Linked DNA regions of Mus musculus: all the other regions are reported to be linked to region 3. Evidence: microRNA targets listed by miRTarBase, many of them from high-throughput screens and not tested one by one. Region 3 holds a microRNA gene; each other region holds the end of a gene's coding sequence.

Region 1 (4,697 bases), not on the chromosome of region 3:
ACTAGTCTAAGCAGGTTGCTCCAGCAACACTGCCCAATGGGCAGCAGACAGAACCAGGTCCCCGGGTCCGTCCCACCACACCAGGAACCTGTTACCTGCAGATGGTGGGACAGGGTGAGTGTTGATGCTTAGGAGTCTTAGATAAGGGGGCTTTATGGGGGCAGGGCTGCATACCTCTATGGATGTGGGAGGGGGGGTGTCTTTAGGACCCTGGAGTATATAGTTGGTGATGCTGCTAGGGTCTGGGGGGAGAAGTAGATTTCTTGGAAAGCAGGTTTGCCCCAGGCTATGGGGCTGAGCCAAAGGAGAAGGGGTGCTTTGCGGATGGGGACCCTGGATGGTCTCATTAGTCTGTACAGGTGATATTTGACGTTTTCTTTCTTTTTTTCTTTTCTTTTCTTTTCTTTTCTTTCTTTTTTTTTTTTTTTTTTTTTTTTTTGAGACAGAGCCTCATGTAGCCCAGGCTGACCTTAACTTGTGATCTGACTGCTTTCATCTCCCGAGTGCTGGGAATAATGCTATGGGAACACCCTATCCACTGAGCAACTCCTGAAGTGCGCTTTCCTGATAGAGTACCCCCAGAGTTCGGGACTTGGTAGCCCAACCCAGGGGGTTCCTGACTGCGGTTCCTAAAACTTTACCTTCTTAACAGCCCAATCTCCTACCCTCCCTGTGAGCCGAGAGACTCTGCTGCGAGGATCTGGGAGTGGCTCTGTGGAGTACTTGCCTCTCACGCAGGAGGCCCTGCCTACATTCCTCAGCACTGCAGAAAAACACAAAAGAAATCCTCTAGGGAACCCTGACTTCGGAGTGGTGTGACACTTGGGTCCCCTCTGAGGCTGGGTTAGCAGGGGGTGGAGTCATCCTTCATATTCATAAAACCAGAAGATGCTGAAAAGAGAGCAGACAGTGCTAAAAAACACGAGAGTAGAGGGCCTCTACTAGTAGAGGGACTGTCACATCCCCCAGAACTGAAGACACCACACCATGCTGATCTACCCACAGAACACAGAAACAGAGCTAGCTTCCTCCAAGGACCCACTGCAGCTGAACAGCAGTGCGGTCCCTTAAAAGGTTGGCCGGCAGAAGCCAGGCCCAGCCCTTTCTGGACACACAACCGTGGGAGTATGTGTGGTGGTCTGGGTCCTTATGGAGTCAGTCCTAGGAAGAGAGCAGGGAAGAGAACCTGAGATTCCTAAGCTTGCAGGAATAATAATATTAATAATAATATTAAAAAAAAACTTAGGTGTGATGGCACACACCTTTAATCCCAGCACTCGGGAGGCAGAGGCGGGTAGAGTCCTATCAATTCAAGGCCAGCCTGGTCTACAAAGAGAGTTCCAGGATAGCCAGGGCTATCTAAAGAGACCCTGCCTCAAGAAAACAATACAACAATAACAACAAAAGTCAGGTAAGATGCCAGGTCTATAGCTTTCTATGGAGAAGGGACTTGGGAGGGAGGCAGGCTGGGACAGATGGGTTTACCAGACAAAGGTTTTGGGGTAACCCTGAGGGAGGGAGCCACTGTTAACAAAACCAAAAACCAAAACCAAAAACAAAACCCAACAACAACAACAACAACAAAAAAACCCAATCCCTCCTCTGGATCAGTGCCCCCCCTCCCAAATAAAATGAAGGCATCCAGAGCTCTAGGCTGTGGAAATGGGGGTACAGTAGCTATGAAGCAGACTACACTGGCCCTCTCAGCCTGCCCCACTTGCGGTAGGTTGTTGGTTCTGTCTCCCCTCCAGGCTGGCCTCAGGACCCCAGGGCTTTTTCACTCATCGTATTGCCTACGTATTTGAATTAAAAATATACGGTGGCTCAAAATGTCCCCGAGTGTGCGCACATGAGGTGGGGGCCCTTGCCTGTGTCCTGCGCACACAGAATATATTAACATATATATTGCTCAAGTATATATGCTATTTACAGAATATATCTCTATCAACATAAAACATGTATTTATAGGTGTGTACAATACACAGTCTCATCCTAGCAAGTCTAGGGGTCCACACAGGGGGCAGGGGGCCAGCACACTTATATGGTGGGAAGGGATGACTGGAAAGGGAGACAGGAGGGGTTCTGGAGATGTGTACCCCGGACAATCAAGGCCTTCCAGAGAGAGAAAAAGGGGACTCAGGGGCCTCACTATAAAGCCCCGCCCACTTGGCCATTTCCCATTCGGGACCAGAAAATAATAAGATTTGGTTTTAAGGGTTTTGTGCAAAAGGAGTTAAAAAACAACAACAACAACAACAACAACAAAAAAAAAAAACCAAAACCAAAACCAACCAGAGTTGATTTTGATTAACATGCTGGGTTCTGGCTTCTACATGATTCTAGAAGAGTTCCTCTGGGTGTGTTTCTGTGGCCCAGAGAGGAGGGAAACACAGTTTGTACAAGACTGTGCAGGGGTAGATAAACATTCCCTCCTCTGACCTTGTTGTTGGAGATCGTGAAGCACAGGCTCGACAAAACACCCCAAGAGCAAAAAGTCTGGTGGACCCCCCGCAGTCCCAGCTAACAGCGCCATATGAAGGTGGTGGAACACTGGCATGCCCTGCAGGGGGTGCTATGGGGTCCTGGTGTCTTGTATCAGAGCTCTGCTCCCACTAGCCCTCCTCAGAAGACACGGCCAAGAGTCTTACGATACATCTTTGCATTTGTGTCTGTCCCCAGAGACACAGGGTGCTAAGTCTCACTGAACACTGGGTACCCTAATAAGACTCAAACAGGCTCCATCCCCTCCAAACAAAACTACTCTTTCCCCAGCCACCTGTATGCAAAGACAACGAAGAAGAAACCCCGCAGGGGTAATGTCTCTCTACAAATGCTTGAAGATAGCTGCCTCCCAGGTTATCACCGTGACCACAGATTGCTGTGTGTATTTCGGGCAGGTATATGAGCTGTGGGGGCTGAGGCCTCTTTATCCCCTAAAAGTGGGGCAGAGAGGATGATGGGGAATTCTCTAGGCTGGTCTAAGTGACAGCTGGGGAGGTGGGACATGGCCCAAGGCACCCTAGGCCTGGGCAGGTGGGGATGCCCACCGCTGAAAGAAGCCGAGTCTTTGCTTGCCCATGATGGGTCTGGGGAGAGCGAACAAAGGACAGATAGAAGCTGGCGCTCTAGGCTGGTGGGAGAGGGGGTGTCCTGGGATCCCCTCCAGGGACAAGTGCTCTGGGGGGAAGTTTGGCCCAGGGCCCCTCTTGGCAGTTGTAGAGGAAATCGACACAGGCCCTGTGTGGTCAGCAGGTGGGGGTCTAGAGTCTTGCCTTTCCTCCCCAGCTTAGGAGTAGGAACCCCACTGCTACTGTCTGAGGCTCACTGGCCATTATGACCTGAGGGTGGCCTGCTGACCTCCATTCTGAGGGAACCAGCCCCTGAACCTCTAAAACTAGAGCAGCAACCATAACCATCAATTCAAGGGGGGGCTCACGGGGGCTTCCCCAGCTCTGTACCCCCAATCTTGCTCCACCAACTCCCTAAGATGTCCCTAGGTGCATCAGGACCCCGATCCCAGTGTCTCACAGGAGGTGCCAGCTTCCTTTGGTGTTTGCTGCGGGCTGTAGGTGAGGCCTTGGGCTGGTCCCAAGTGTCCTGGGCCTCGGAGACCGCTTTCTGGGGTGGAACTTGGGGGAGGAAGATGGGCACACCCCCACCGAGCGGAAACAGAGTCATTACTGAAAAGGCTGGGGACTCTGGAAGGCAGGAGGAGGATGTGGGGGTGGCCCTAGCTCAGGCCCAGGCCTGGAGGAGTCAGGAATCAGGGGAGTGTCCCAGAGGCCCCTTCCTTAAAGGTCCTGGGGCCGAGCTTTCAGTCCATAGGGAAATACTGCAAGAATAACCTTCGTGGGGGGAAAGGCCCAGGTGGGCTGTGGCAGGGAGGAGCCCAGAGACGAGTCTAATGCTTCCCTGCTTGACTGACCTTCAGGGCATGGATAACCCCACTGATATTCTCTTCTGGAACCTGCAGGGCAGGACGCAAAGGGGGGAAAAAAAAGTGTGTGAGCCCAGGTACCTGGTCCCTACCCATACAGTCCCCACCTGTCCCCAGGGGCCACTTACCAATGCATGGTCGAACTTGAAAGTACTGATGTAATATGCTGGGATGTCTGCAGCTGCCAAGGGCTCTGAGATCTGGGCTACAATCCCACATTCATCTAGGGAAACACAGGTGCTCAGAGAAGGAGCTCTACCACAGAGCCACGCCCCCAGCCCCTCACTGGGGGATTCTAGGCAGGGGCTCTACCACTGAGCCACGCCCCCAGCCCCTCCCTGGGGGATTCTAGGCAGGTGCTCTACTGCTGAGCCACGCCCCCAGCCCCTCCCTGGGGGATTCTAGGCAGGGGCTCTACCATGGAGCCACGCCCCCCAGCCCCTCCCTGGGGGATTCTAGGCAGGTGCTCTACTGCTGAGCCACACCCCCAGCCCCACTGTATTTTTCAGCTTGCAGGATGGGTTAAGAGCCCTATGGTAAAGTCTACTTGTTGGTCTCCCGAGGCCTTCATATATATATGTCACACCATTGGCAAGAGATCTGTCAGAAATGGGGTTTCAGTCTCCAGCACACTACATAGGGTGGATCTGGCCAGGAACCCTGGGAACGCCTCCTGATTCCCGCATATAGGTGTTGGACCCCACAGGCTCACCAAATCCCAAGGGTTGTCCTCCTATGCGCACCATCTTCCAGAGCTCTC
Region 2 (4,697 bases), not on the chromosome of region 3:
TATATACACAACATCTTTTGCTGAGTCTCCTGGTGTTTGCCTGAAGAGTTAAGAGCTGGGTTCATCCTGTATTCGTGCACATCATCCTGGTAGCATTGACTTTTTCTGTACCTGTTTTATCACTGGTAGTAGCGCTAGTAATATTTCTCTTAGATTTAGCATGACACAGTCACAGGAACTGTCATGAATTGAAATTCTAGTATCTGCGACTTATCTGTGTGGGAGCATGGTCGCCATGGTAGACAGGAGTAGTTAGTTGTCTTTCTTTTAACAAGCCTCTCTCTTTTCTCCGTTTCTCTTCCTGACCCCTATAGAAGCCGAGGGCACCAGCATTCTGTTTGCAACCATCCTGAGATGAGGGCCCATTTCCATCTGAAGGGGAGAAGCTACCTGAAGAAAGCCAAGGATGAGCGAGCCGGGATGCAGCCCGCCAAGGCCATTCACGAACCGGCTGAGTCTCCAAGAGAATTCTTCAGACCAGCCAAGAAAGGGGAACACCTGGGTCTGAGCCGGAAAGGGAATTTCAGGCCCAAAATGGCTAAAAAGAAGCCTACAGCAATCGTGAATATCATCTAGAGCTTGGGTGGCTCGGAAGCATCACCACGGGGCTTACCAAATGATGTTCCAGAGTCCAACAGCGTTGTCCTTTTGGACATGTAGCCGTAGGAACGCAGGGAACACAACAAACAGGGTCACTCTGATTAACCAGAATGTAAAACAACCGGTTTCAGGAAACACGAGCGGGTAACTTCTTAAATAATTGGGCCAGTTTCTCGCAGACCTGGCACCCGGGGTTCCTCTACCCAGTGCCCATTAGTACGTGGGCCTCACAAGATGCCAGACTCTGGTATCCACTGCTCTCTGAATTATGAGGCAAGGAATGTGACTGTGAAGTTCTTCTACTTTAAAGAAAAATAGTATTTTTTGGTGTTCTGAGACAGGGCCTTGTTATGCTATGTAGTCCTGGCTGGCTTGGAGCTTTATATATATATACCAGGCTAGCTTTGAACTTGCAGCAATCCTCCTGCCTCTGCCTCCTGAGTGCACAGGTGTGCGCTACCACACCCAGCTGGGAGTGTAAAGTTCTTACCAAGAGCAGTGAAATAAAAGCAGAGCTTTTGTGGTTTGCGTGTAGACGCCCTTTGATACATTTGAAAGTCTCTACGGTAGAGGTTCGTTCCTGTTACCCTTGAGGATTCTGGTTAATCAAGATTTTAATCTCCGTGTGGGTTACAGGCCGTGTTTAGTTAGACCTCGGTTCTCACTTTGCCAGGTGGCTTTTGGGGTTGTTTGATTCACATCTGGGTCCTCCAGGGCCTATTTATTCAGGTCTGGGTGCACCCCTCCTGCCTTCTTTGGCAAAGCACGCTGCACCCCCAAGAGCTGTCTACCGGCCTCTGCAGAGATAGCTGCTAAAACCCTTGGGGTCAGCAGCATCTTTGATGTGGTGCCCAAAATGCTTGATGTGCTAGAGGGGGGCACACTCAGTGTACCATGGCCATCCTGGCCATGCTGTGGGCACGCCCACCATTCTTCTCCCACCGGCTACTCTGGAAGGCTTGCTACCGGTTACCTGTGAGCATGCTCTTTGCTAACTTCCGTTTCAACCCGGAAGCTCACTTTGCCTCCTCTTGCTTCTTTAGCCGGTGTACACTTGACCCCCTCCCAGCCACACCTCTGGGGTGTTCATTGTGCAGTGCATTCTATTGTAATTTCAGATGATAAAGAATGCATGCGGACTATGACCTGTGATACTACCCTCCCCAAATGACACTGTTCCTATTAAAGAAAAAAAAAACTTTAAAAAATCTCCTGGTTTAAAATTTTCTTCCAGAAGGAATTTATATATTTTTTTCCTTAAATTAAGCAACACCATCAGGTCTCTAGAGTGTATTTGTGCTGACATTCTTTCTAAAACAGGAATAATGTTGTCCATAAGTATATACATATATATATTACATACGCTATATATATGTCAAGTATATGAATAGTTTATTTTTAAATACTCCTGGAGAAAGTGTGTGTTTGTGGTGGGTGGCTTTAAAACTATATAGCTTTGTTTCTGTAAATCAAATTCCTTTACTTTAAAAATTAAGATTGTAACCTGACTAACACTTGTAGAATTATTGTTATTGCAACAAGCATCTGATTAGCGTATTACATTAAAATAGATAATAAAGCAGTTCCTTGGGATGACAATAAATTGAAAAGGATAACTCATCGTTTTCAGATACTTTGAACCTGTCCTTGTGGAGGAGAGGTTTCTGTGTGAGTCTTCACTGACTTCCGGCCTATGGGAGCAGATCTTCTGTGTGGTGTGCAGGCAGATTCCAAGTTGGGGAAAGAAACAGCTGCGTATCATATCACTGTTGAGGCTGACGTTGTGAAAGCTGTAATGTTATTATTTATCTGGATAAGAAATCTCCGCCATAGTTATTTATTGTTGATGTTTATATCATGGTTGCACTTTTGCTTTGTCCACACTGAAAACGTGACTTGCTGATTGTATCGCATGCTCCCCGTCCTGTAGTGTGTGCAGTAACAACACCTCAGCTTTGACAAACATATGGACAGATTTGTTTCCTCTTTTATTTAAAGTAAGTCATTTTTTGGTGTTCCTTTAAAGAGCCTAGAAGGAAGGACAGCCCTCTTTGACAGTGGTCCATGCTCGTCTTTGGATATAACCTTGTACTCTATATACACTACTCAAGACAAATAGTTTTAAGATTGACTTACTGAATTTAAAAACATCTTTTAAGTTTCAGCTGCATTCTGATCCCCATAGAAGGAAATGTGTTAAGTATAACAGACTCCCTAAAGACATAAATCTGCTGTTGAAGTATGGGAGCTGTTTTAACGGAAGGATCATTCACCTACATCATGGCTAAGTTCCATTTATATGTCATCTACACACACACACACACACACACACACACACACACACGCTCTCGAGTCCCCTCAGGCAATCGACCTTAGATTTGAAGCAGTGACTTTTTAAACAAATCACCAAAGTTTCTGGGAAACTGTTATCAAGAATTAACTGAGGTATACATTGAATTTTATTATTTATTTTGTAAGGGGAAAAGATCTTCATTTGAACTGTTGTGTCAATGCCCCACCCTCTCCCCAAACTATAACAGATTCTTATGTGTAAGTGCGGCTTGCTTGGAAGCTGTATTCCAGTATGCTGCAGGGCCAGTCAAATGTATAGATGTTAGAGTATTTCTGTTCCCAGGATGGAAAAAAAGAGAAGTTTTTAGATTATGAAATACTATGATAATAAAGCTATATTTCTGACTAACACTTTGGTCTGTTCCTTCTAGGTCAAGTGTTTTGTTTTTTTTGTTTTTTTTTGAAAGTCACATTTATTGCTCCACTAACAGCAAACAAAACTATGCTTCACAAATAAACTGTTCCTTTTGTACATAATGAGCATGCCCTTGTACACCAATCAGCCTTCAGGAAAACTGGCTCATTTATTTTCATACTTTCTAATACCTCTATCTAAATATTCTTTTTAACATATGTTCACACCCAGGGAGGCTCATTAAAAGCCCTCTCCACATCTTCCCTGTCTTCCTCGATGACTATGTGTAATTTTCCCAACACTTTAGTTTTATCTTGTCAACTCTTAGCGGAAACCATAAACAGATGTCCTAGCGTACCCACCCCAGCCTGTGGCTGCTGCACATCCTTGCCGCTGTACTAAGAGCAGGCTTCAGAGAGAGGAAGCACTCAACCGCTGGTTTTCTACGAAGCATGGAACTATGGGAACTCAGTGAATTCCAGTTGTTTCCAAGTTATTGGTGAGATGGCCTGCCTCTGCTCCCAATACTTAACTAGTGTTAGGCTAGTGGGTTTTCCATGTTACAGGTCTAAGCACTAGCATGATATTCATGATTATCCCCCAGCAGTTGAAAATGTTAGTCTCAGTGTCTTGAATTCCAAGGATGACATGCATGCTCAATCCTGAACAGGAGGCTTGGGCAGATTTCAAACACTAACAATGGGCAATGTTAAGAATTGGATTCCTCTAGAGGACTCACGACCTCACCATGGGGATCATTAGTTGCATCCATTTCACTCTGTCAGGCATTCACATGCTTTGTCTCATTTGCAGAAGCTAAGGGGAAATAGGAAGGCATGGGAGCAAGAGAGAGGTGCCAAGAGATGTACAAAGAAACGGGGGAGAAAGAGTAATAAGTCACAGAGGAGCTGAGATGATCCAAGTGCTCTATCCATACATAAAGAAATGACATAACAACACCCAACACTTCAGCTACAAAGAAAGTCTGTAATCTCAGTACTTAGAAGGTGGATCAAGAATTCAAGGTCATCCTCAGACACATCGCAAGTTCAAGGCCAACCCAGGGATACATGAGAGGCTATGGGAACAGAGAGAAAGAAAGAATTTAGATGGGAAGGAAGGGAGGGAGGAAAGAAGGACGGACAAAACCCTGCAGACGCTTGCAACACTGAATATCCACAGAGCACACAATGAACTCGACACTGTGCAGAACTCACAACAAGCCCCGACGTCACAATTTAGGCCTTTAAATGATAAACTTTAGAGGTGGCACAAACCTTGGTGACTTGGAGTTAGCATTTCTTAGCTAGGACCATGTGCCACAAGAGAAAACACTGACAAACTTACTCTTCTCAAAACACAAAACTTGATGAATGATTTGTTGGGAAAA
Region 3 (4,000 bases):
TCCACTGTGGGTCCTGGAGACTGAACTCAGACTGTAAAGCCCGGCAGCAAGCACTGCTGAGCCATTGAACCAGCCCTCGCTGGGCACTGAGCCACAGCACTCCAGCACAGGAATCACTCTCCTCACTGGTACTGAGCCACAGCACTCACTGGTACTGAACCACTGCACTCCAGCACAGGAATCAATTTCCTTACTGCAGAAGAGGAGAAAACAAGACAGGGTCCAGAATGCAGAACGTACTTCCTCGGCAACAACGACAAACAGTTCTCAGTCCAGGGAAGGGAGATACAGGAGGGAAGGCAAAGTACAAAGGACTGCAGGGTAGGCAGAGGGGCCGCCTTGGCTACCTCTTCCTGGCAGGGAGCTGCCCCTCCAACTCAGAATATGTCCTGAGTGCCGCATAGGGTAATAAGCCGCAGATCTAAGAGGGGCAACTGTAGCAAGCAAGCCACCCTAACATTTGGGCCCATCTCTGCAGGCTGCAGACTAGAGGGGGTGAGGCAGGAAGAGGAGACGCAACATGATTGCCTTGAGTCCTCCACTGGGTACCGATGGACAGCCAGAAACGAGAGGTTGGGATGAGGAAAAGACCACCCTGTGTGTAGGCAGAAGGCTCTCTGTGGGGAGGGGACAGGCAGGGCCACCTCTCACTTTTGCTCTTTGAGCCCTCCCAATGTGACAGTGATTAAAGCAGGAAAACTTGAGCCTTGCAGGTGGCTCAGTGGGTGGGGATGTTTGCCATCAAGACCGAAGACCTGGGGTTGATCCCCAAAGCCACACAGCAAACAGACTCCAGTGTTAGCATTGGCACTACGCTCAATACATGGTGCATACAACCCCCCCCCATCATCCCATGCACACACTCGAACACATGTGTATACACACACACACACACACACACACACACACACACACACACACACACACACACACACACACACACGAGGGCCAGCAAGGTGGCTCTGGGGTCAGAGACTCACCACATGAACCTCTTACCTAGTACTTGAGTTCTGACCTCAGGTCATGACCTTGCTTCTCAGGTCTGATAAGCAAGAAGCAAGCCATTTACTGATTTATCTCCCTAACCCCCAAGAAAAATTGTAAGACAGAATATGCAAGCCCGAGGAACTGGATTTGCCCCTGCAACCTGTGTAAAGGAGAGAGAAAACGGACTCCTCTAGGTTGTTCTCTGATCTCCACCTGCACCACAGCACATGCACTCTCCCCACACATAAGTCAATATAACAAAAGACAATCCTCCTGCCTCTGCCTCCCCAGTGCTGCTCAAACAGGACAGTTCTATGCTCAGAGCACTTCTGAGTAGAAGCAGAGAAACGGGACACACTAATTACTCTGTGGGACACTGAGGGTCAGATTGAGAACCTGTGGTTCCAGCACGAGAGAGGAAGTGTCAGGCAAATCTCTGAGTTCAAGGCTACCCTGGTCTACAGATCAAGTTCCAGGGCAGTGAGGGCTATACAGAGAGACATTGTCTCAAAAAAAGTTTATGTTGTAAAAATGTATGTATAAATACATATATGTATGCTTTTTCTTTCCCCTTTTCCTGCCTAAAATCCAGATCCATCTAACTGCACAGCTCCTAATTTGTGGAGGTGCCTTCCCAATGGGCCAGTGTCTCTTCTGCTACCAGCTGCCTATATTCCTGGCACCCCACAGGTGTGGGGCTATCACCTGAGCCTTGGGGGCCAGCTGGGAGTTAGAATTGTGGCCCTAACCACATCTGAGCCCTCCTTCCACCCTCTGCCCACTTACATGGCGCTGGCTGTGTAGCTGGCATCGCCACCTTCCACGTACTGCACCTGGCTGGAATACACGTGTGGGACAGGCACCTGAGGGAGTTGCTGTACCTGAAGCAGGAGGAAAAGCAGGGTCATGGGTCAGGGCTGACCACCACCCACGGGTTCACTGATGCCCACATACATCCCCATCTAGAAGGTTGCACATCATGGTTTTCTGAACAACATGGGCCAGAGGTGGGAGGCTTAGGTAGGAGGCTTAGGTGGGGCCAGGTCTCAGTTGTGGCTGGAAAACAGGAGGTGCTGGGATTCTCTGCTTTGGCAAAGAGGTTTCTAAGGCTTATGAGCAAAGGAGGGGATACCAGACAGAATTCTGCAATGGGCTTGAGAGGTGGGTTTGCAATCTAAAAACCGGGCCTGGGGGTTTTCTGGAAACCAAAAAGGTTTCCCAAGCAGATTAGGGGTGGAGCCTGAAGAGGGATCAGTTGATAGAACAACTAGAAACAACTGACAACACCTTAGGGGCAGGTACTGGATAGCCTACCTCCACCCCCAACCCTGGTTTGCAGGAGCCGTGTCTGGGACCCAGTCCCTGAGGCAGAACAAGAATGACTGGCAGCACTTTGGGGGACAGGGTAAAGACATCTCACCCCACCCGCCTTGGGTTGCAGGGGCGAAGCCTGGGAGCCTGGACTTGAAGGCGAGGCAAAGCGGCTTGCTGGGCTGAATGCCCTTCCCCTGCCCGCCCTCCGCCCCCTGCCGTGCCTCCGCTGTCCGCCGCCACCTACTTTGAGGGCGGTGCCGAACACTAGCACCTGGGGCATTCTGTGGATCCTGACCCTCAGGTCGGGGCTGGCTCGGGCCGAGAGCCCCCGCTGTGGCTCGAAGACCACCCTCTGCTGCGGCAGGAGCAGGTGTGGGGGCAGCATGCCCACCAGCTCCACCCACTGCTCCACACCCGGCTCGTAATGGAGCGGCTGCTGCTCGCTGCCTAGCTGCAAGACCTCGCCGCAGCACACTGGCCCAGGCCCGGGAGGCCGGGGCGGCGGCTCCGGCGGCGGCGTGGGCCGGGTTTCTTGCTGCTCTGCCTTCCTAGCGGGAAACTGACTGCCTGAGCTCTGGAGGACAAACAGAGACACTGGGGTATCACCCGGCTGTGAACTCATGGCCACCCGAATGAAGATTCCCCACTTGGGATCTCCTTAGAGAAGAGAGGAACGAACTGGGCACTATCAGAAAGAAGCGGAATTCGAATCCAGCCCTCTTTCAACAAGACCTGTGTCCTGAGTGGTCAGGTGCTGGGATGGGGACGGATTCAGGATGAAGTCTGAAGCCGAGGGCTAGAGTGAAACCTCACTTCTGCAGGGCTTCAAACCTCAATTGCCCCCACTGTCTGCCCTTTAGGGTCCCCAGCTGGCTCCATTCCTCCCTCTGGATTAGGTGCCTGTACCTCCAGCCACAGCCCAGGACTAGTCTGATTGCCCCGACATAGACAGATAGGACACGCACCTCTTGAGCAACGTGAACTGGCTGCAGTCCCTGCACAGTCAGCTGCTGCACCGGGCCAGCTTTGGTCTGTGGAGTGGCCTGGACTACTGACCTCTGGCAAAGAAGGGCAAGGAGAGGCAAGTTCGAGTATGGTAACCATGGCAACTAGGGCAGCCTGTCCCATGCATGCTCAGAACAGCCGTCTTGGGAAAGGCTGTCATTCTTCAGACAGAGAGCAGCCTTTCCGTGTGGGGTCCAGTTAATACAGGCCTTCCAGGTCTCTTACTGCCTGCCTCTGCCATCTGGAGGTTCAGAGTGGTTCTTGCACGGGAAGGGAATACCTGTGGATCCTTTGAATTAGAAGGTTCCCATTTCCTCTAGGGAAGAGCCTACAGCTCGGGCCTATTTGAGGTTTTCAGCCTGGTACTGGGGAACCTGGGGTCTTATGCATGCTAGGCCAGCTCTCTACCACTAATCTACACCCCAGCACTGTTTTTCAATTTTTATTCTGAATCAGGGTTTCACTACATTGTCCAGACTGGCCTTGAAGTGGGGATCTGGCCTGAGTCTCTTGTAGTTGAGGCTATGAGGACACACAAACCATGTCTTGTTTTCTTGAAAAGCCAAGAATCCCAAGAGTTAAGCAGTTAACAAGGAGATACAAGACCATCCTTGCATCTTGGCCTGCTCAGGCCACTGTGATGGTATTAGGAAACTCAGTCTCCTTTGGAAGGTTGAGCACATCGTGAGAATGG

Evidence for each region. Region 3 holds the annotated microRNA mmu-miR-709 (GGAGGCAGAGGCAGGAGGA, at 1,256-1,274, opposite strand). A microRNA usually pairs through its seed, bases 2 to 8, with sites in the 3' UTR of a target mRNA and lowers its output. Matches are read on the target gene's strand: a 7mer-m8 pairs with bases 2 to 8, a 7mer-A1 pairs with bases 2 to 7 and ends in A, and an 8mer does both.
Region 1: the mRNA of Castor2 is a reported target of mmu-miR-709. Seed matches in the 3' UTR shown: 7mer-m8 at 1,459-1,465 and 7mer-m8 at 1,282-1,288.
Region 2: miRTarBase lists Zfp365 as a target of mmu-miR-709. Seed matches in the 3' UTR shown: 7mer-m8 at 1,025-1,031 and 7mer-m8 at 1,031-1,037.

Annotation. Positions count from the first base shown.
Region 1 is chr5:134,137,499-134,142,195 of GRCm38, reverse strand. It overlaps Castor2 (cytosolic arginine sensor for mTORC1 subunit 2), which reads right to left. Exons shown (of 9, transcript NM_030719.3): 7 at 4,650-4,697; 8 at 4,066-4,160; 9 at 414-3,967. The coding sequence ends at 3,902. Among named protein-coding and RNA genes, the nearest start is that of Rcc1l, 37 kb to the left of the region's middle.
Region 2 is chr10:67,884,709-67,889,405 of GRCm38, reverse strand. It overlaps Zfp365 (zinc finger protein 365), which reads left to right. Exons shown (of 5, transcript NM_178679.2): 5 at 315-3,301. The coding sequence ends at 576. Among named protein-coding and RNA genes, the nearest start is that of Zfp365, 26 kb to the left of the region's middle.
Region 3 is chr8:84,083,441-84,087,440 of GRCm38, reverse strand. Mir709 (microRNA 709) reads right to left here and starts at 1,342; the gene lies at 1,255-1,342. Rfx1 (regulatory factor X, 1 (influences HLA class II expression)) reads right to left here. Exons shown (of 21, transcript NM_009055.4): 7 at 3,267-3,359; 8 at 1,774-1,868.